4 linked regions of the Nothobranchius furzeri genome follow. The protein of the gene in region 4 interacts with the protein of the main gene of each other region in a pairwise test. Links are inferred from orthologs where the notes say so. Each region holds a gene or a part of one and is shown on either strand. Other genes may lie near its edges. The genes, in order: foxm1, rab3ip, ppic and banp.

What was found.
Region 1: the proteins of banp (region 4) and foxm1 interact in binary tests that used the Homo sapiens proteins (3 or more experiments, as listed by UniProt). The link is inferred for Nothobranchius furzeri from reciprocal best matches to the Homo sapiens genes BANP and FOXM1.
Region 2: the proteins of banp (region 4) and rab3ip interact in binary tests that used the Homo sapiens proteins (3 or more experiments, as listed by UniProt). The two-hybrid records come from large-scale screens. The link is inferred for Nothobranchius furzeri from reciprocal best matches to the Homo sapiens genes BANP and RAB3IP.
Region 3: the proteins of banp (region 4) and ppic interact in binary tests that used the Homo sapiens proteins (3 or more experiments, as listed by UniProt). The two-hybrid records come from large-scale screens. The link is inferred for Nothobranchius furzeri from reciprocal best matches to the Homo sapiens genes BANP and PPIC.

What each region holds. Positions count from the first base shown.
Region 1 is NC_091741.1:41,398,426-41,403,033, forward strand, and holds the end of foxm1 (forkhead box protein M1), read right to left. Parts: intron 2,334-4,608; coding exon 2,294-2,333; intron 2,166-2,293; coding exon 1,993-2,165; intron 1,917-1,992; coding exon 1,104-1,916; 3' UTR 954-1,103; downstream 1-953. UniProt on the Homo sapiens protein: Transcription factor regulating the expression of cell cycle genes essential for DNA replication and mitosis. Plays a role in the control of cell proliferation. Also plays a role in DNA break repair, participating in the DNA damage checkpoint response.
Region 2 is NC_091741.1:38,160,196-38,165,690, reverse strand, and holds the start of rab3ip (rab-3A-interacting protein), read right to left. Parts: upstream 3,395-5,495; 5' UTR 3,260-3,394; intron 161-3,259; 5' UTR 87-160; intron 1-86. UniProt on the Homo sapiens protein: Guanine nucleotide exchange factor (GEF) which may activate RAB8A and RAB8B. Promotes the exchange of GDP to GTP, converting inactive GDP-bound Rab proteins into their active GTP-bound form.
Region 3 is NC_091750.1:37,263,383-37,268,089, reverse strand, and holds part of ppic (peptidyl-prolyl cis-trans isomerase C), read left to right. Parts: intron 1-183; coding exon 184-277; intron 278-376; coding exon 377-444; intron 445-1,823; exon of another isoform or gene 1,824-1,826; coding exon 1,827-1,943; exon of another isoform or gene 1,944-1,963; intron 1,964-3,934; exon of another isoform or gene 3,935-4,072; intron 4,073-4,307; exon of another isoform or gene 4,308-4,401; intron 4,402-4,707. UniProt on the Homo sapiens protein: PPIase that catalyzes the cis-trans isomerization of proline imidic peptide bonds in oligopeptides and may therefore assist protein folding.
Region 4 is NC_091744.1:74,163,533-74,168,897, forward strand, and holds the start of banp (protein BANP), read right to left. Parts: upstream 3,142-5,365; 5' UTR 3,028-3,141; intron 1,096-3,027; exon of another isoform or gene 1,013-1,095; intron 852-1,012; 5' UTR 843-851; coding exon 773-842; intron 413-772; coding exon 297-412; intron 220-296; coding exon 20-219; intron 1-19. UniProt on the Homo sapiens protein: Controls V(D)J recombination during T-cell development by repressing T-cell receptor (TCR) beta enhancer function. Binds to scaffold/matrix attachment region beta (S/MARbeta), an ATC-rich DNA sequence located upstream of the TCR beta enhancer.

The sequences.
Region 1 (4,608 bases), on a different chromosome or scaffold from region 4:
ATTTTTAAGCTTCAAAGCCACACAAAGTCCTAATTTTACATCCTTCTACAATAAAGACTTTTCTGAGCCAGACTGTTCGTGCTTCTTGTCGACTTTTATTTACACAAGAGTAGAAATGTGTATTCAGACTGAGTTTTCCAGAAACGTTACACCTCACTTCATTAATTCCACCGATGAAAGGAAGTAATCACCTGCAGCTCTAGAAAGCGAAACTACACATTTTCACTCACATGTAGCATAAAAAATGAAGTCACAATAGTTTGTGCCAACAAACTTGGTCTCTAAAGAAACTTCCATGCTATCTTCCACGCACCAACACAGATGTTTTCCTCTATTTTGCTGATTCTGCTTCAAGACAAGAATAAAAGCCATCAAGCTTTCTCAGAGAATACAAATAAAATATTCTTTAGTCCCTTTTGATGTTAAATGTGAAGACACAAATCCTCCTTTCTGATCAGATCTGGAAGATGGCAAAAACATTCCAGTCAGTGAGAATTAAAACAACAACGTACATTTCTAAAGTAAACAGAGACAATCCTATTGCTGTTAGTGCTAATAATAGTAATACTTTCTTACTCCTACAGTCTAATGCGGTTCCAAACGCTGTTTGAACCACGAGGCACAGAAAGATCTTTCTAAAATATTCAGAAACTCTTTCCCACTTGCAGATGGAAGTGCTGTAAATCATATATTAGAATGTGCAAATCAACTTATTTATACACTTAAATATTCATCTTCTTTCAACGACAGTTGTGGATTAAAATGTTCGGACGTTAATAATCCAATAAGTGATTTAAATGAGCAAAACAAACAAACCCAAACTAGCAGAGAAACAGCCAAGCACGAGTGAGCAAGCCTCGCTGTCGTTTATCTCAAACTTCACCAGAAACGGCAGCAAAAATCAGCTCAAGCAAAGCAAAAAGGAGCTCGTTTTGTTCCAGAGAGACGACGGCTCTCTTCTTGTAACATATATTCATAAAGATGCGTTAATATTTAAAAATCAACCTGCGGTTTGTCAATAAAGTTTCATTAAAGCAATAAAGAGTGTGTGTGTGTGGTTTGTAGTGTTTTCTCCAAATTCTGCAGTTTATCTTTCCAGTGATCTAAACCTGCCCGATGAACTCGGACCAGCTGATATTAGCGATGCCCAGTTCCTCGTCCAGACCCGTGAAGCTGATGTCCACCAGAATCTTGCTCAGGCTGTCGTTCATGAGGTCCAGCACGAGGCCCTCCGTGAGCGAGCGGTTAGTGGGCGTGGCGCTGCCGGCTTGCAGGAGCTCCCTGGAGCAGCTGCTTTGCGGGTGTCCGATCGGCGACTCCGTTGATCTGGTGACTCTGCAGGGAGCCGTGGTGAGCAACTCCCGGGGGGAGCTGAACAGAGCCAGGTCTTTAAAGGGAGTGCTGTTCAGACTGAAGGTGGTGTATTCGTGCCGGGGCGTGGCTACAGGACCGCTTGGAGTGCGAATAGGACTGAAGTCCAGAATGTTTTGGCTCCCTTTGCCCACAGGGGTCACGAGCCATGGCTCGAGTCCAGCAGAAGAGCGTTTGCTGGGGGTGGAAGAGGTCAGGTGGGTGATGCTCTTTATCGGAGTCTTGAAGGAGAACCCCCGGTCAGGACTGTCTTGTCTGTGCCGCTGCTCATTCGGCCCGACATCCAGAACGTCCTGGAACGTCGACACATCAGAAGCTACACCAGAGTCGAAGAAGTCACTATCAGGACAGAGGAGAACAGGCTCCTCGTGCAGCGAGTTAGCCAGGCTCTGTTTGCGTCGAGAGCTGCTGGCTTGTCTCTTCGGAGGACGAATGGGAGTCTCACATCTTATTGGAACATCAACTGGCTCCTCCTTTATCTCCAGCTTCAGGTTAGTGATCTTGGGAGGAGATTCAGCCACAACCGAGATGCTGCTTTGTGTCACCTTTTCATGGAAAATAATATGTTAGATTCCTTTGGCATCGAAAATTACAACAAGTTGTGCCTAAAAAGCGGTTTACCTTAGGAGCTATGCGGACTCTCTTTGCCCCTCGAGAAAAGGTCTGCTTCTGCTTGGGGCAAGCGTAGCTAAAGGAGGCAGACGGGGTTGACAGATACAACGGAGAGGCCACAGGGAGCTGGATCGGAACCAAGTAGGATTCGGTTCGAGGGAGAAGCGGTTTCATCCTTCTCTCTGAGCACAAGGAGACACGGAACATGAACCAGCAGCACAAGTAGGGCTCTGAGGATGAGTCTGAGTCATTTCTGGAAACTAGAAGTGGATTTGGGAACTCTGAGGCTCCAGCCTAGTCCTTAACTCACCAGAAGAGGCTGGTATTTTTCTGCCAACAGCAGCCGTTCTCTTTTGTTGACATGGAAAGGAAAACGAAAAGATGCACCATCACTTTAAAATAGTCAAATGAATACAACTTTATTAACAATGCTGACAAAGACGGTACCCTTTCCAACTGACTCCTTTTATGGATAAAAAAAATAGCTGTATTTGTGAGTGGGTATAAACCAGCGTTAGACAAGGGAAAGCCTCTTCAGCCTCTCTGGTTCTCAGATCACCTCCTGCAATAAGATGACCTCACAGCTCCAGGTTCACCTGCATTTTCTTACCTCAAATAAATACATGAAAACTAGGGCCCGACCGATATATCGGCCGATATTGGAGTCATTAACCGTATCGGTTATTGGCCAAAAAGATGACCGATATTGCGCTACCTATCCAGCAGATTGCACCAGCTTTATGAACTCATGTTGTGTGGCTCCTAGCGATGGGTACCGAATTCTGTACTTTTTAAGGTACCGACCGAATTCCATAGTACAGACTGAGCACAGATTCACGTCATGTGAAACGGTGCCTCGTTTCGGTACCCGTCCTTCATAACGAGAACTTGCCTAGACAGCTGCGCATGCGCAAGAGCGCTATGTCGGTCGCTGCGAGCGAGTTGTAAACAGAGCAGCATGGTAGAAAGAACGTACGCTAAAGCTTGGCTCCACTTCACTAAATGTGATGGGTAACTGGGTGATGATGAAACCAGCGACAACGATCTAAGTGAGACATCCTCATCTTAATCTGCTCCGGTAGGTAAACAAAATGTTTAAGACAACGTTAGCTTGATATGTTAGCTTCCGTTTCGCTAATGGTGCGTTCGCTTTCTCCTCGGAACTCCGAATTTCTGACTAGAATGCGCTCTAAAGTTTGGCTTCACTTTACTAAATGTGACGGGTGATTGGGTGAAGATGAAACCAGCGACAACGATCTAAGTGAGACATCCTCATCTTAATCTGCTCCGGTAGGTAAATAAAATGTTTAAGATAACGTTTGCTTGATTTGTTAGCTTCCGTTCTGCTAATGGTGTGTCCGCTTTCTCCTCGGAACTCCGAATTTCCGACTAGAAGAACATGAACGCGCTCTAAAGTTTGGCTTCACTTTACTAAATGCGACGGGTGATTGGGTGAAGATGAAACCAGCGACAGCGATCTAAGTGTGAGGCATCATCGTTTTAATCTGCTCCAGCAGCTAAATAAACTGTTTAAGATAACGTTAGCTTGATATGTTAGCTTCCGTTGCCACCATTGTTATCAGCTAACGGTGCGTTCGCTTACTCCTCGGAAATTCTAACTTCCAAGTAGGAAAAATCAAATGAAAAAGGACGGCAAAAGGAATGAAGATACACAGTAAATTTAGTTCACAGTAAAGATGTTTGCTTCAGTTTAATTATCAGCTTATAAAACTACAAGGACGATGTTAAAATACAAACAGTTGTATGTTATTTATTGTGATATTTATCAAATATGGTTATATATTGAGAAAAATATATATTTAATTATAAAAAAGAATTAAAATATTAAACACTCAAAAGTATCTAAAATTGGTACCGTTAAGCACCGGTATCGATTCCTAGGTACCGGGAATTAGTACCGGATCGATTCAAATGTCAAAGGTACCCATCCCTAGACTGGCTCCACTCCTTTGAACACAAATGATTGTTTTGGAACTTTTTTTTTAATTTATTCTTATTTGTTTCTTATGTGCAACTATTTCCTGTCCAGGGTGAATAAGTTCACCAAGTTAACTTCCACAGAGTGTTACTTTGTTACAAAGCACAAGTATTACGTTTTATTTATTGCTGCATTTTTATTATTTTAATATTCTTATAGGGATCTTCCGTCCCTAAACTCGTGTGTGTTGTTAGATTCCCCAGAGTTAGCCAAGTCAGAAAAAACATTTTGTAACCAGTTGTTTTAGCACGAAGCAATGGAAGGGAAGGCTTGCATTCACCTACATAAAAAACACTACAATGTATGTGAATTCACATACATCGTTTTATGCTAAACTAAGAAAACCAACTGCTGCCAGATCATGTTGGGCTGGTTATAAAATGCTTTTTCTGACTTGTCTAACTCTGGGGAATCTTAACAAGACACAATTTTACTGAGCGGTGGAATATTCCTTTAAGTTAAAATGTATTTGTGGAAACCACAGTTTACAAGAAAAAACTTGAATGTTAGATTTATGCTGTGACTGAGTTTGAAGAAGGAGGCCTACAGGGCGTTGCTGGTGTGTGGCTCTCCGGAGGCAGCAGACAGGTACCGGATAGCCATGCGAGGTGCAGCAGTGGCAGCTG
Region 2 (5,495 bases), on a different chromosome or scaffold from region 4:
ACATCTAAATGAAGCTCTGAAACAGACACTTAGGAAATCCGTGTGTGCGTGTGTGTGTGTGCGTGTGCGTGTGTGTGTGTGTGTACCATAGTCGTGGTGGATGGAGATGCCAGCAGGCTCTGGTTTCAGGTAAACAGCTGACTCGGGACAGGTGACTCACCTGGAACAAGGAGAGGAGTCACTTTCGTCAGGTGTCATTAATAGAACAGCTGAACCTGAGGAAAGTTCTGGTAGAGATCAAACCCTCTTAGCCCTCAGACGGTCCACGGAACAGAACCGGACCACAGCTCTCATGGCTTCTGTTAGCATCACTAATGTGGCCGTCCAGCAGACCCGGCCCGTTAAAGGTGCCGAGTCATGGCTAAACCCTGAAGAGGAACCACATCCTGGTCATCACAGTTTAACCCAAACTTTTCATAATAAACTTTTATTGTAGCTTAGAAAACCAGCGGGAAGGAAGCTGGGTGCGGTGTCTCTGCCCTGCGTTTCGTCTCTCAGGCTGCTGCTGCGTTACTTGATTAATGGAGTCTTTAAGTGCTTCCTGACGGCTGCGTTTTTCACTCGTCTGTGGAACGAATATTTGGATCAATCCAGATCCATCTGTGCGTGTAAACACCAGCTCACCTTCTGCCCACTCAGCACATTCACACCCGCTTACAGCTGAAGAGCATCAGGCTGTCGGAGCCTCGTTGCCTGCTCCCCAACATCAAGTCAAACAAAATACACGTTTTTTTTTTATAAACCGCAGGTTTAGATGAATGTTTTCAAACTGACGGATTCTTCAGATGGACCCAAGAATCTAAATCAGACTCATGAGGACAGGAGGGACAGAAACGCGTGTCTCAAGTCTAGAAAACAACCCAGAAGGAGGTTGAATTGTTGTTTTGTTGATCGTTCCAGTTCTACTGAGCTGGACCTTCCTTCTCTTCTCACCCAGTTTTTTCTTAATGTTCTTTTATTTGGCAGAGACTTTTATCCAGAGCGAATTTCAGAGGATGCAGATCATAGTGCAGTCAATCCAGCTGATGTGTGTGTGTGTTATCCGTGGGAGAAAACACACACATGCATGAGGAGAACATGCCAACTCCAGAAAGGCCACAGGCGGGGTTTGAACCTACAACCTTCTTGCTACGAGGCAACAGTGCCACCAGGCGTTTTCTGCAGCCCAAGGCTCCGTTTACATACTCAGCAAATAAAATCCAGTCTCATAATCCTAATCTGAGTAGGAGGGACTTTAGAACGGAAAACAAAATGTAAATAAAAGCGTACGTCTTCTATGATATGAATTAGAAACGATGACCTTTAACCCAGAATCCCTTCCATGGTGACACAAACACACATGCAGGTCTCGTCAACGCCAAACGGTTTCATTTCGTAGCTCAGAACCTAAAACGATGAACCAAAGCCAGGTGAAAACCCACCGGCATCAAGCCAACCTATCTCCCACAGCGGGTCTCCATGGAAACCAGTCCTGGAGAGCTGGTGGTAACCCGACACGATGATGGATGCTGATCACAGATCCAGTTCCTCTGGCCGACCCGAGTTACTACATATGGGTTCTGTCGTCCCAAACTGACGTGGAAACAGCTCACGTTCACACAACACAAAGTCTTTGTTCCACACAGGAAGAACGCTGGGTTCCACCAGGGTTCCACTGATGGAGCAGAACATTCACCTGCTGCCTTCCGCCTGCAGCGGACGAGTTTCCGTTTTAATCTGCTTCAGCAGGACTTAAAGCCTTGCTGCTTTTACCGTTTGTGTTTTTAATATTTCATAGTCTGATCAGCCAGAACATTCTGACCTCCAGGTGAGCTCAAACACCAATTATCTCCTCATCATGGCACCCAGAGGCAGGTGGGAGACACTGCATCAGATAGGCAGACGTGACGGCGGCCCTGGAGGCCGATTGATGCTCCTGTTCAGCAAAGATCCAAAGCATGAGCTGCTGAACCTCGAATGGCTAAAAACAAAACACAAATAATGTCGAGGAACTCAAAACCAAAGGGACATTCTGCATCTGCATCAGATCACAAACCAAAGGAAGAAGTTGGCCGAGTACGACTCGTTTTACTTTGTGTTGTAAGTTTTATGTTACTCAGCAGAAATTGTTGCATCGAACAGCTTTACAGGGAGGAAAGTAGCAGGTTTGAGGTTTCAGATCCACTGAGTTACCAGGACACAGAGTTTTACTGCTCAGCTGATAGTTATTTTAATTTAGCTTCCAGCATAGAAAATGTATTTTTGTTTCAAAAGCAAACCCTTCTGCACATCATGCGCTCACTAATCGGAGCGCAGCAGTCAGTGAACAATCAAAGTTGAAAGAAGAAGATGGCTGGAGCACTCACAGTGCGAAAAAAGCACCAATGTGTGCGAATGAGACACGTCTGCATACCGATCCAGTCCCCAGAGTTACCTTTTACACTTTTATCTCACAGCCGGCGTCCTTATCTTTCAAAAACTTATTTTTGTTTGATTGCAACTATTTTAGATAATATAAATGTACATGTTAATGTAAAGGAAAATGATAGAAAATCTAATCTAATATGTTTTAAATAAACTGACTTAACATTAAATTACCCCATAAAATAATCAATAAATAAATAAATTCAGATTAACTCCTATCCCTAACCTTAACCCTACCCAACAACCAGCTGGTTTTATATCTAATTTGCAAAATAATCAAATCCATAAATTACTGTTGTTGTGACTGGAAACCAGGTTGAGATTTGTTTCCTGGAAAATTGACAAACACCATTATTCCTATTACATAAGTAAATTCTTGCATTAGGTTCTTAGTATTTTGATCATTTTATCGTAAAACGATCTGCAACAAACAGCCTCTCTGGGTCTTAAAATGGTTAATAGTGGAGCTACCTGTAATGTCACCGTTCTCAGGGTTAAAGTGCAGCTCGTGTGGCGGAATCAGAGCGTGTTTTATAGGCACAAACTCACCTGTTTCAGGTGATCCTAGGTGTTAGCAGACAAGCTAACAGCTGGTATTGGTAAGCTAGCCGCGGCTATCTGACACCAAACGCATCAAACATGCACGGAAATAACGTCTCATCGCGAGACGATTGTAGAAAATATGCATAAACACTGACAACATGAGTGTTTACCCACTTTGTTTGTGGAAAGCAAAAACACAAAGCTACATTATCCAATAATGAGTACAAATGATCGGAGCTAGCGGGCTAAACTAGTCCGCTCAACCGGGCTAAAAAACGACCAGATTAACGGGAAACGTCTGCGGTGGACTCACCGTGTGGACATCCGTACCGATGGACCTGCGCCCCAGAGACGTGCCGAATGAGCCCAACAAACAAACAAATAAAAACAAACAATCAAACACACCGGAGCGACTGGCTGACGCAGAGCCTGACGAGAGACGCGTTCAGGGAACACTGGGAAATTGCACGACTGTACATGAAGGCAGCAATCCAATCCGGTTTGACTTCGCACTGCACTCCAGCGTTTAAAGCTCTTCAAAGCAGTCTGCAGAAACAACTACCATAATGACATTAAAACATAAAATAAAGCACACATGAAAACATTAAACGTCCTACGGATAAGCGTTCTTTGCACAATTTTTTATACATTTACGTGAAGCCTTTAATTTTAATATAAATATATTTATTTTTCAAAGTAAATCATAAACATTGGTGTTTTCCCAACATTTTCCTCCAGAAGTCCAATTAAACAGCACGCAGGTGGCAGAGGGCGCCAAAAACTACAGAGTTGTATTATATTTGCCCAGTAGAGGGCGCTAAACACAAACTAATAAATGCAAATTTCCAATTAAAATGTCAAACTCATATTATCTCCTTTTTGGGGGGGGGGGGGCAATTTATTAATTTGATGTTTCAAATTAAAACGTCTTAAAAATATTTTTTCATAAAGCTTAATGTTAGTTTGAAACAAGTGTTTGCGTTTTATGTATTGTTATGCTATTGTTATGTATCCATTATCTATTTTATGATACTTTTATTTATTATACAGGGAGTGCAGAATTATTAGACAAATGAGTATTTTGTCCACATCATCCTCTTCATGCATGTTGTCTGACTCCAAGCTGTATAGGCTCGAAAGCCTACTACCAGTTAAGCATATTAGGTGATGTGCATCTCTGTAATGAGAAGGGGTGTGGTCTAATGACATCAACACCCTATATCAGGTGTGCATAATTATTAGGCAACTTCCTTTCCTTTGGCAAAATGGGTCAAAAGAAGGACTTGACAGGCTCATAAAAGTCAAAAATAGTGAGATATCTTGCAGAGGGCTGCAGCAGTCTTACAATTGCAAAGCTTCTGAAGCGTGATCATCGAACAATCAAGCGTTTCATTCAAAATAGTTAACAGGGTCGCAAGAAGTGTGTGGACAAACCAAGGTGCAAAATAACTGCCCATGAACTGAGAAAAGTCAAGCGTGCAGCTGCCAAGATGCCACTTGCCACCAGTTTGGCCATATTTCAGAGCTGCAACATCACTGGAGTGCCCAAAAGCACAAGGTGTGCAACACAATACTCAGGGACATGGCCAAGGTAAGAAAGGCTGAAAGACGACCACCACTGAACAAGACACACACGCTGAAACGTCAAGACTGGGCCAAGAAATATCTCAAGACTGATTTTTCTAAGGTTTTATGGACTGATGAAATGAGAGTGAGTCTTGATGGGCCAGATGGATGGGCCCGTGGCTGGATTGGTGAAGGGCAGAGAGCTCCAGTCCCACTCAGACGCCAGCAAGGTGGAGGTGGAGTACTGGTTTGGGCTGGTATCATCAAAGATGAGCTTGTGGGGCCTTTTCGGGTTGAGGATGGAGTCAAGCTCAACTCCCAGTCCTACTGCCAGTTTCTGGAAGACACCTTCTTCAAGCAGTGGTACAGGAAGAAGTCTGCATCCTTCAAGAAAAACATGATTTTCATGCAGGACAATGCTCCATCACACGCGTCCAAGTACTCCACAGCGTGGCTGGCAAGAAAGGGTATAAAAGAAGAAAAACTAATGACATGGCCTCCTTGTTCACCCGATCTGAACCCCATTGAGAACCTGTGGTCCATCATCAAATGTGAGATTTACAAGGAGGGAAAACAGTACACCTCTCTGAACAGTGTCTGGGAGGCTGTGGTTGCTGCTGCACGCAATGTTGATGGTGATCAGATCAAAACACTGACAGAATCCATGGATTGCAGGCTTTTGAGTGTCCTTGCAAAGAAAGGTGGCTATATTGGTCGCTGATTTGTTTTTGTATTGTTTTTGAATGTCAGAAATGTATATTTGTGAATGTGGAGATGTTCTATTGGTTTCACTGGTAAAAATAAATAATTGAAATGGGTATATATTTGTTTTTTGTTAAGTTGCCTAATAATTATGCACATTAATAGTCACCTGCACACACAGATATCCCCCTAAAATAGCTCAAACTAAAAACAAACTAAAAACTACTTCCAAAAACATTCAGCTTTGATATTAATGAGTTTTTTGGGTTCATTGAGAACAT
Region 3 (4,707 bases), on a different chromosome or scaffold from region 4:
CCAGCTGATGTACGTAGAACGTTTTCCCCCCAGAATTCCATAAAAGCTACAAACATGTTTTATTCTGAAGGGTTTGTCAGGATTTAATGGAAAAGATTTATTCTTTATACCGGTTTATCCGGTCTATTTCATGTCCACCAGAACCAAGCCTCTTAAGTTGGTGTTTCATGTGTTCATCTGCAGAAGGGTTACGGCTACAAAGGAACCAAGTTCCACAGAGTCATCAAGGACTTCATGATCCAGGGAGGAGATTTCACCGCTGGAGACGGAACCGGAGGTGGGAGTCAACTAGCTAACGAAACCTCCACTAATACTCATGTCGGCGTTAAAACTAATGAAGTTATTTGATGTGAAAAAATAAACTTTTTTTGTTCAGGTCACAGTATTTATGGAACCACGTTTGCAGATGAAAACTTCCAACTGAAACATCTCGGAGCCGGCTGGGTGAGTGTATGCTAACACACACTCAGGCATGTCCACGCTAGGGATGGGTACCTTTGACATTTGAATCGATTCAGTACTAATTCCCGGTACCTACGAATCGATATCGGTACTTAATGGTACCAATTTTCGATACTTTTGAGTGTTTATTATTTTAATTATTTTATAATTAAATGTATATTTTTCTCAATATACAACAATATTTGATAAATATCACGATAAATAACATACAACAGTTTGTATTTTAACATCGTCCTTGTAGTTTTATAAGCTGATAATTAAACTGAAGCAAACATCTTTACTGTGAACTAAATTTACTGTGTATCTTCATTCCTTTTGCTGTCTTTTTTCTTTGATTTTTCCTACTGGGAAGTTAGAATTTCCGAGGAGAAAGTGAACACACCATTAGCTGATAACAACGGTGGCAATGGAAGCTAACATATCAAGCTAACGCCATCTTTAACAGTTTATGTAGCTGCTGGAGCAGATTAAAACGATGATGCCTCACACTTAGATCGTTGTCGCTGGTTTCATCTTCACCCAATCACCCGTCGCATTTAGTAAAGTGAAGCCAAACTTTAGACCGCGTTCATGTTCTTCTAGTCAGAAATACGGAGTTCCGAGGAGAAAGCGAACGCACCATTAGCGAAACGGAAGCTAACATATCAAGCTAACGTTATCTTAAACATTTTATTTACCTACCGGAGCAGATTAAGATGAGGATGTCTCACTTAGATCGTTGACGCTGGTTTCATCATCACCCAGTTACCCATCACATTTAGTGAAGTGGACCCAAGCTTTAGCGTGCGTTCTTTCTACCATGCTGCTCTGTTTACAACTGGCTCGCAGCGACCGACGACATAACGCTCTTGTGCATGCGCAGCTGTCTAGACAAGTTCTCGTTATGAAGGACGGGTACCGAAACGAGGCACCGTTTCAAATGACGTGAATCGGTGCTCGATCGGTACTATGGAATTCGGTCGGTGCCTTAAAAAGTACCGAATTCGGTACCCATCCCTAGTCCACGCGCATGCACACACTCAGTCATGTCCACGCACATGCACACACTCAGGCACATGCACACACTCAGGCATGTCCACACACATGCACACATTCAGGTCACAAAGGTGTTTTTCATTCAAACATGCCTACAGGAAAGCCTTTTTGTTTTCTAACTGCAGATGGAATTGGGACTCGTTTCTGGAAACTGGGAAACCAAAACAAAATATTTTATTTTTCTGTTTGTGTCTAAAATGCCTTCTTAGTTTTTAAACCCAACTCCGGGCTCGGTACCGGCTCAAAAAGGAATCTTCCCATTTTAAAAGGAATTTGGATGTCACAGAACTACATGGCATGAAGTGAGTAATTGTGTGTGTGTGTACCAGGTGAGCATGGCCAACGCCGGTCCAGACACCAACGGGTCTCAGTTTTTCATCCTGGCCACCAAAGCGCCATGGCTAGATGGGAAGCATGTGGTCTTTGGGAAAATTCTGGATGGGATGGTGAGTGGAACCTCCAACGTTCTCCTAGAACAGAGAAATGTAATTGAGTAAGTGACCTCCAATTCACACTGGGTGCGTCTGCAGCGCGTTACAGAGATGCTGCGTCTCCACGGCTAATAGAAGCCGTTATAATCAATGGCAGGGGTACTCAACTCCGGCCCTTGTTGACCGCAAACCTTACTTTAGTCTGTTTTAGGTGATGAAAAGGCATTTGAGCTGCTGATCAGGTGACTCAACATTAAGTCAGGTGTGTTGGAGCAGAGAAACAACCCAAAGCTGCGGGACCGGGGCTGACCCCGGTTTCACACTGCAAGCATCAGCGGAACGGAGCAGCAGCGGGGCGGCTCACTCGCCAACTTCAAAGCGCTCCTTTTCACACCGGGAGAGTCTTGGCTGCGGCACGGCTGCCTTGCTGCACCTCGCTGTACCCGCGAGATTCTAAAATCCCTCGAGACTTCCGACACCTTCCTCATCGAGAGATCACAACCTCCGCGAGGAATCACACCGTTGCACTTCTCGAAAGAAACTGGTGGTAAACAAAGCCGTTCGGTCACACGTACTGACGTAAGTTGTATATTAGGGCTGGACGATATAGCAAAAAAGTATATCGATAAAAAATATTTTATATTGATCGATATCGATCATTATTGAAAAATATTTTAACAATTGTAGAAAATATTTTACGTGCACCCTGGCCACTTTATTTTTGGTATTTAGATTTTTTTTCTCCGCCTCTTCTCGCCGCTACATCTTTAGGGCTGCCACAAACGACTATTTTAGTAGTCGACCAATCGTGTCGTTTATAAAAGTTTAGCTTATTGCACCAGGAAGCCCTAATATACCAGCATTAGCTTCTAGTCTGAAGTGTGATCAGCTATGGGCCATCTAATAATAAAGACAAGATGATAGCTTATCAACTTAAATGAACTTGTAACCTGTTGATACAAACGCTACAACCACGTGGAGGTAGGCACCTAAAACTAGGGATGGGTACCTTTGACATTTGAATCGATCCGGTACTAATTCCCGGTACCTAGGAATCGATACCGGTACTTAACGGTACCAATTTTCGATACTTTTGAGTGTTTATTATTTTAATTCTCTTTTATAATTAAATATATATATTTTCTAAATATATAACCATTTTTGATAAATATCACGATAAATAACATACAACTGTTTGTATTTTAACATCGTCCTTGTAGTTTTATAAGCTGATAATTAAACTGAAGCAAACATCTTTACTGTGAACTAAATTTACTGTGTATCTTCATTCCTTTTGCCGTCCTTTTTCATTTGATTTTTCCTACTGGGAAGTTAGAATTTCCAAGGAGAAAGCGAACGCACCATTAGCTGATAACAACGGTGGCAATGGAAGCTAACATATCAAGCTAACGTTATCTTAAACAGTTTATTTAGCTGCTGGAGCAGATTAAAACGATGATGCCTCACACTTAGATCGTTGTCGCTGGTTTCATCTTCACCCAATCACCCGTCGCATTTAGTAAAGTGAAGCCAAACTTTAGAGCGCGTTCGTGTTCTTCCAGTCGGAAATTCGGAGTTCCGAGGAGAAAGCGAACGCACCATTAGCGAAACGGAAGCTAACATATCAAGCTAACGTTATCTTAAACATTTTATTTACCTACCGGAGCAGATTAAGATGAGGATGTCTCACTTAGATCGTTGTCGCTGGTTTCATCATCACCCAGTTACCTATCACATTTAGTGAAGTGGACCCAAGCTTTAGCGTGCGTTCTTTCTACCCTGCTGCTCTGTTTACAACTCGCTCGCAGCGACCGACGACATAACGCTCTTGCGCATGCGCAGCTGTCTAGGCAAGTTCTTATTATGAAGGACGGGTACCGAAACGAGGCACCGTTTGAAATGACGTGAATCGGTGCTCAGTCGGTACTATGGAATTCGGTCGTTACCTTAAAAAGTACAGAATTCGGAACCCATCCCTACCTAAAACCAAACATGACTTGTGTTCAGAGGCATGGTGGCGAGACTGAAGCGCTTCATCTTCCAATCTTCACTCAGGAGATAGCAGAACACACCAAGATATGCCTCTGTAGCACAGCTGGTCCACACGTCAGCAGTCAGGGACCATCGACAGCTCTGAGGGTCTGCTTTAGCGTAAAGATAAAAGATATTAAAGTTAGTTTAATTACCAGATTAATAATTCTGTTAAATCACATAAAGTAGGTTAAGATTTAACACAAAGAAAATGTTTTATGCTTTAAAAATATTAGTTTCTTGATTGTTCAGTCAGCAACCTTTTTATTTGATCATAAATGCTTTTTATTTTACTGTTTATTTTATTTGTATCCAGAGAGAAACTGACACACACACACACACACACACCTTAAAAGTTGTGTAACTCTTCTTTTCCATGATGGTGGTGAAGTGGGACCAGCCTGGTAGATGGTTGTTGTCATATACATGTCTGTAAACTCCACTGTAACGTAGCGGGATGAGATAAATCATTAGCGTTTGTAATCAGAGCAAAAATACGTGACATACAAACGAAAAAATGAAGTGGAGACTCCTTGGACGCTCTATTAGTGCAATTAATACCACAGCAAGTCATTTTGTCCAACAATTGCACAAAAAATATCCAAAACAGAATACACACACACAGAGACTCAAAATGACCGAGCAGTTTCCAGGCCAGACCGAGGCTCTACTGAGGCCTTTCCCCGGAGCTAGCTCTGTGGTCACGTGGGTCTGATGCTCATTAATTATACAGAATTTTAGGCTTTTA
Region 4 (5,365 bases):
CTGGGCGTTTAGAGCTTACCAGCGGACTTTGTTCCACGTCTGAGTGGCCCCCTGAGGTGACCCTGCGACCATCGAAACCTGGACAGGACTCTTGCTGCAAGAGGTCATACTGTCTAGTTTGCGTGCGAGAGATTTACACGTAGAGTCTAACGACTGTAGCTTGGACTCAATTCCTTCCAGTCGCTGGCACAGCGAATCGTTAAATGACACCAAAAGATTCTGGAAAAGGAGAATAAAAAAGAAGAATGTTTGTGCACACATAAGGACTTTTAGCACCATCCTTTCAGGCTTGCTACCTTAATTAAAGTTAAGTCCTGGCTGCTGTTATTGTTCTCCTGGATGTTGATGTTGCTTAATTTTCTCTTCTTCTTCTGGGTTCTTTCTTCAGCATCTTCGTGATTGCCCAGCATGTCTGGCATGAACGAGACATAGAGACACCCTCAAACCGACACACCAACACACTTCTTGCTGATTTCAGTTGCTGTCCAGGCATGTATTATTCATGCTGTAATCAGCAGGAGATCCGAGTTGGAGCTGAATCCCAATTCCATATAAAAGGCTGGTGCATAAATCTGTGCAGCAAACAATCGGCAGAGAGTAAAACAGACCCAAAACCTAATTTAGAATCAACTTTTATTTGATTTTGGCTGATAAAATGTTGTTTTCTAATGCTGCGTTCAAGAATATAACTATCTGATGAAAAAAAAGGTAAGTAAAAAACGTCAATATTGATTAATTCACTGTAAAAATGTAACATAACAAGAAATCCTACCAGAGTGGTTGTTGTGATCAAAATCTTCCACTGTTATTTGAACAATTTCATCCAACTCTTGCCCAGACATTGTTCACAGCTGGCATGAAAAGAAGAGAATATTTATTATATAACACATTCCTGTATAGTTGATAACCTATGCAAAGTTTTGATACGCCTGCTGCCGTAGAATTACCATTTGCTCACTTTTCGTTGAAAAATTGGAATACACTAAAGCTCTTAAAGTGGTACTTTACTCACATACAATACATAATCTGCAGTGGTCTCAAGTAGGAACGAATGCCTTGTAAGGTGCACTCTGGGGAAACAAAGCTCCGGTGTGCCTAATTCAGAAACTAGAAGTTAGCCAGATCAAAGTTGAGCTGAACACAGAACGATTTGGTCTCTTATTTCCTGACATTTGGACATCTGTTTGGCTAACAGCAAAGAGACTCTACCACTGGTAGAGACTCTACCATTTGCTTTACATTCTTGATGTTTTATCTCTGCAAATAACACAAGAATAGAGGAGTTCTGCAATGTGGTGGAGTTGCTAATACTAACAGTTAGCTTCTACAAGCCGAGACATTCTCTGCTTTTTCCTGGATGGGAAAATGACAACAGCCTTCCCCATCGTGAGTCAAAATGGGTGAGTCCAAGAATGTGAAGTCACAGTATGATGTAGATCTGTCAGGATTTTTTAATCCTAGCATTTCACTGTCTATCAAAAGCTATTGCAGGAAACAGGTGTACAAGACTATTTTCATGTTCAGCCTGCATCAAAAACTCAAAGTGACCGATTATAATCAGATATAATCATTTTTAAATGTTTTTTCATTGAAGTACCACTTTAACATAACTGCATATAAAAGTCTGGGTGACCAAAAAACTTGTATCACGCCTGAAGGCAAAGCTGTTCACGCTATCAGTACCGTTGATTGGTTTGAGAGCAGAAAAAATAAGTTTTAGTGACATTAACAGCAGAACCATCTGAGGACAAAATGAAAAAAAAAAAGCCTTTAGCCATAAAAGACAGCGGTGGTGCAGAAATATGAGTGTGTGAGGGAGGGTGTGACAAATAGTGGGAGATCTTGTGATATTGCTTGAGCTTGCCCATAATGTTATTTTCAATACTGGACCAAAACAGATACAACTCCCAACAGCCCCCTCTAAAAAAGAGGACTTTAAATGAAATTCTCTCATGAATGATGGAATCCTTCAAGGAATGCTAATCTTTTAATTTTCTGGAGATTTGTATATTCTATCTGTCCTTTAAAGTTAATTTTTCATGTCATTTCTATTAAAGGCCAGTTTTCTAAATGATTATGAACATCTCCACAATAGGGCACCAATAATAATAATATTCTATTCTGAGATATCACTTTCTAAAATTGAGCAAATTCATTAATAGTGGTAAAAATATTACAATTTCTTAATCTGTCTACTATTTTGAATAATTTGTAAAAAAAATTATGTGTTTATTTCCTATATTTAGCTAGGACCTCCATGCAACTGCTGCATGAGCAAAACTGTGGAAACGTGTATCAAAGTATCAATAAATCCTTTATATAAACTGCATAAATTTGTACTTCCTTTTACTCTTCCATATTTTTTATTTTAGAGGAACACATCTCATGGTTTCTGTAGAGAATTAATCCATAAAACAGGCATACTCGAACATCATGTAAACAATAAACTGAGTGGGATTTTGTGATGCAGTGCTGGGCCTGCAAGCTGCAAACGTCTTGCTGATGGTTGAGCTAGTTATTGCCAATCTCCTCAGTTTAACATCCTTGCCCATTAATATATTTTTTAACTGACTAATCTTATTTCGAGAGTTGCTTGCAACGTTTATACTGCAACCTGCAATCATTAGCTTCCATTTAGAGGTCGGGAGGCTCTACATGCAGCAGAAATACCACTTATTTTGCAACAATTTTGTGTGTCATAACTAATTTTGTTGCACCTGCATTTTGTTCAACTTTGCATTTGGATTTGCAAGCTGAAAATTGTTAGATAGCTGGTGGCTAATGTTAGCTGCAGCTACACAACATCCGATTTGTGAGCTTGCTTGCCAGCGATAAAGCTAGATGCGCGAAATGAGACGCTATTTAAGCTAGCTTAGTAGTTAGCATGCTAGTTAGGCCTTGTGGCTGCTTGATAGCAGACGAAGATTTGTTGAGTTGAATACAGCAAATAAAGATCATTTTGATTAAGCCTCTTCTTCCTTTGCTCTCACGCAACAACATGCACCGTGTAAGATTGGGTTATATTACCGTGTGAATGACGAATTCTCGTGTTGTTTGTGGGGATTCCGATAACGGCGTCGTTCCTCGCGAGAGAAAAGGCTGCGTCCGCTCCGCTCCTCTGTTCCTGGATCTGGCCAGGGTATATCATGGCTGCCTGTAGAGGGCGCTCAAAACCAACTGAGAGGCTGAAAACGAAGTCTAGTTATATTTTTAAAGGATCCGTTATGTGTTTTGAAAGGTTTTTTATGCAATGAAAATCAAATACTATAATTAGAATGTATCCCTGCACATGTAAACATAAGAAACTTTAGTATTTATCCTGTTTTTAATCAGAAAATTGGGCTGCATTTCATATTTCGGGCAAGTGGCGCAATAGATATGTTGGATCAGAAGATTCCAGGTTCGACTCCTGGCTGGCTCGAATTGCTTTTTCAGTTTCAAACTCTTCAACTTAACTACTTTCAATAGTATTTATTTAATTTAACAAATATATTTTTTCATCAAACTGACAGACCGCTTGACATGTGACATCACACTGCCAAGTCCCTACAAAAATTGCTGGCCACCCCAGGGAAGACAAGTGTTTTTTTCAAAAGTCAAATTAATGTTCACACAAACCATAAATTTATCTTAATGAAGACGTACAGGTGAATCTCGAAAAATTAGAATATGGTGTAAAAGTCCATTTATGTTGGTTATTCAGCTCACACTAAGAGACCATCTAAAGGGTCAGGAATCCTTTGTAGGTGTTTTGGATTCATTAGCTGAGAGTGTGACACTTTGATTCTTATTGAACCTTTTCAAAACATTCTAATTTGTCTGAGATTTTGAATTTAGTTTTAATAAGCTGTAAGGCATAATCATCACAATAATAAAGACTTTAAATATGTGACTTTGCTGTTAATGAGTCCATTTCATATATTAGTTTCACCTTTTAAATTGAATTACTGGAATAAATTAACTTTTATATCATGATCTAATTTTTCAAGTTTCACCTGTACACGTAAAACCCGGCAACTCTGAAGTTGCAAGTGTGACATTCTGGACACATTAAGCTTGTAAACAGTCCTTTTAGCACATACTGGCTCAGGAAAATGATTTTAAAATATTCAAAGTTGCATAGTATCCCTGTAACACCCTCAGCTTCAAGATCTAACTTTTCGATCATCTGCACAAAGACGTCTTAGACGATCAAAAATTGTAATACCTACATCCCTAGGTTTAAATTTTTTTACTTAAATCGTGGAGATACAGGACTGGATAGCAGCTGCAGAAGCTCATTTTGCCTTCCAGCATTTTGCCCAGATGTAAACAACAACATTCACGAGGTCTATAGATCTTTACTGGCTGGTACAAGTGAAAATAGAATCCTTTAAAATGTTTGGACCAGCACCCAGTGGAATATTACAGGAGGGTAGAAATTAAATAAAATATCCATGACTCAATGCACACGATTAGACCTTCTGCTATACCAGCTGTCGTATACTAAATTATTAGCAAAATTTACTGTTGTTCTCATCATATCCGTACAAGATTCACCCATGAGTCTCCTGCCTCTCTGGGGCAGTTTGCTACTTTCACTTGATAACAGATGGATGGAAATGAACTTTGGAAGCCCTGATTTCAACGTGATGTGGGATCACAGTTGTGATCGAGGCAGTTAGTAACAATGCTAAACAGAGGACTAATTTCTACCAAATACTGACAAAATTAGGAATGATTTGTTATGGCCACTTCCCTTCGATGTTATATTTTGATTTTCAAGCTCAGATGTTTTTTAGCATTGTTATTGCAGATACTGAAGGTGTGTGTTCATCTAATTAAGGGATAATAAACTTCCTACTCCTTTTCAAACAAATTATATTATTAATGTGTATAATTTTGCAATTATTTAAATTGCCACATTACATGCATTACCATTTCTTATTAAGGTGTTTTTGCTGGCGTCCTTGTTTTGCCTGCTTTGTTACAGCTCAATCTTTATTTGTTCGAAATAAATAAGGAACCAAAATCTTATGACAAATGTATTTTTTCACCCTCAATTGTGAGCTTCCAGCTTCCCCTTCTCCATCTCCTCCAGCCTCTCCTCCAATTCTTCCTTCTGTGTCTGTTCTGTCACCTGACAAAAATGTTAATGTCACGTGACCAGAAAATTTGGGATGCAACAATCACAGATTTTGATCATTAGATTGATATTTATAGTCTGAGAGGGGGAAAATCAAGTTTCACAAATAACATTAGGCCCATTTGAATTTTATTTGCCAATAGTGTATACAAAATCCAGAAGCGGGCTCTGTGTTTGGTACCTGAGCAGCTGGGCACGTACACGCACGCACACATAGCTTATACAGACTTGAATGTTATT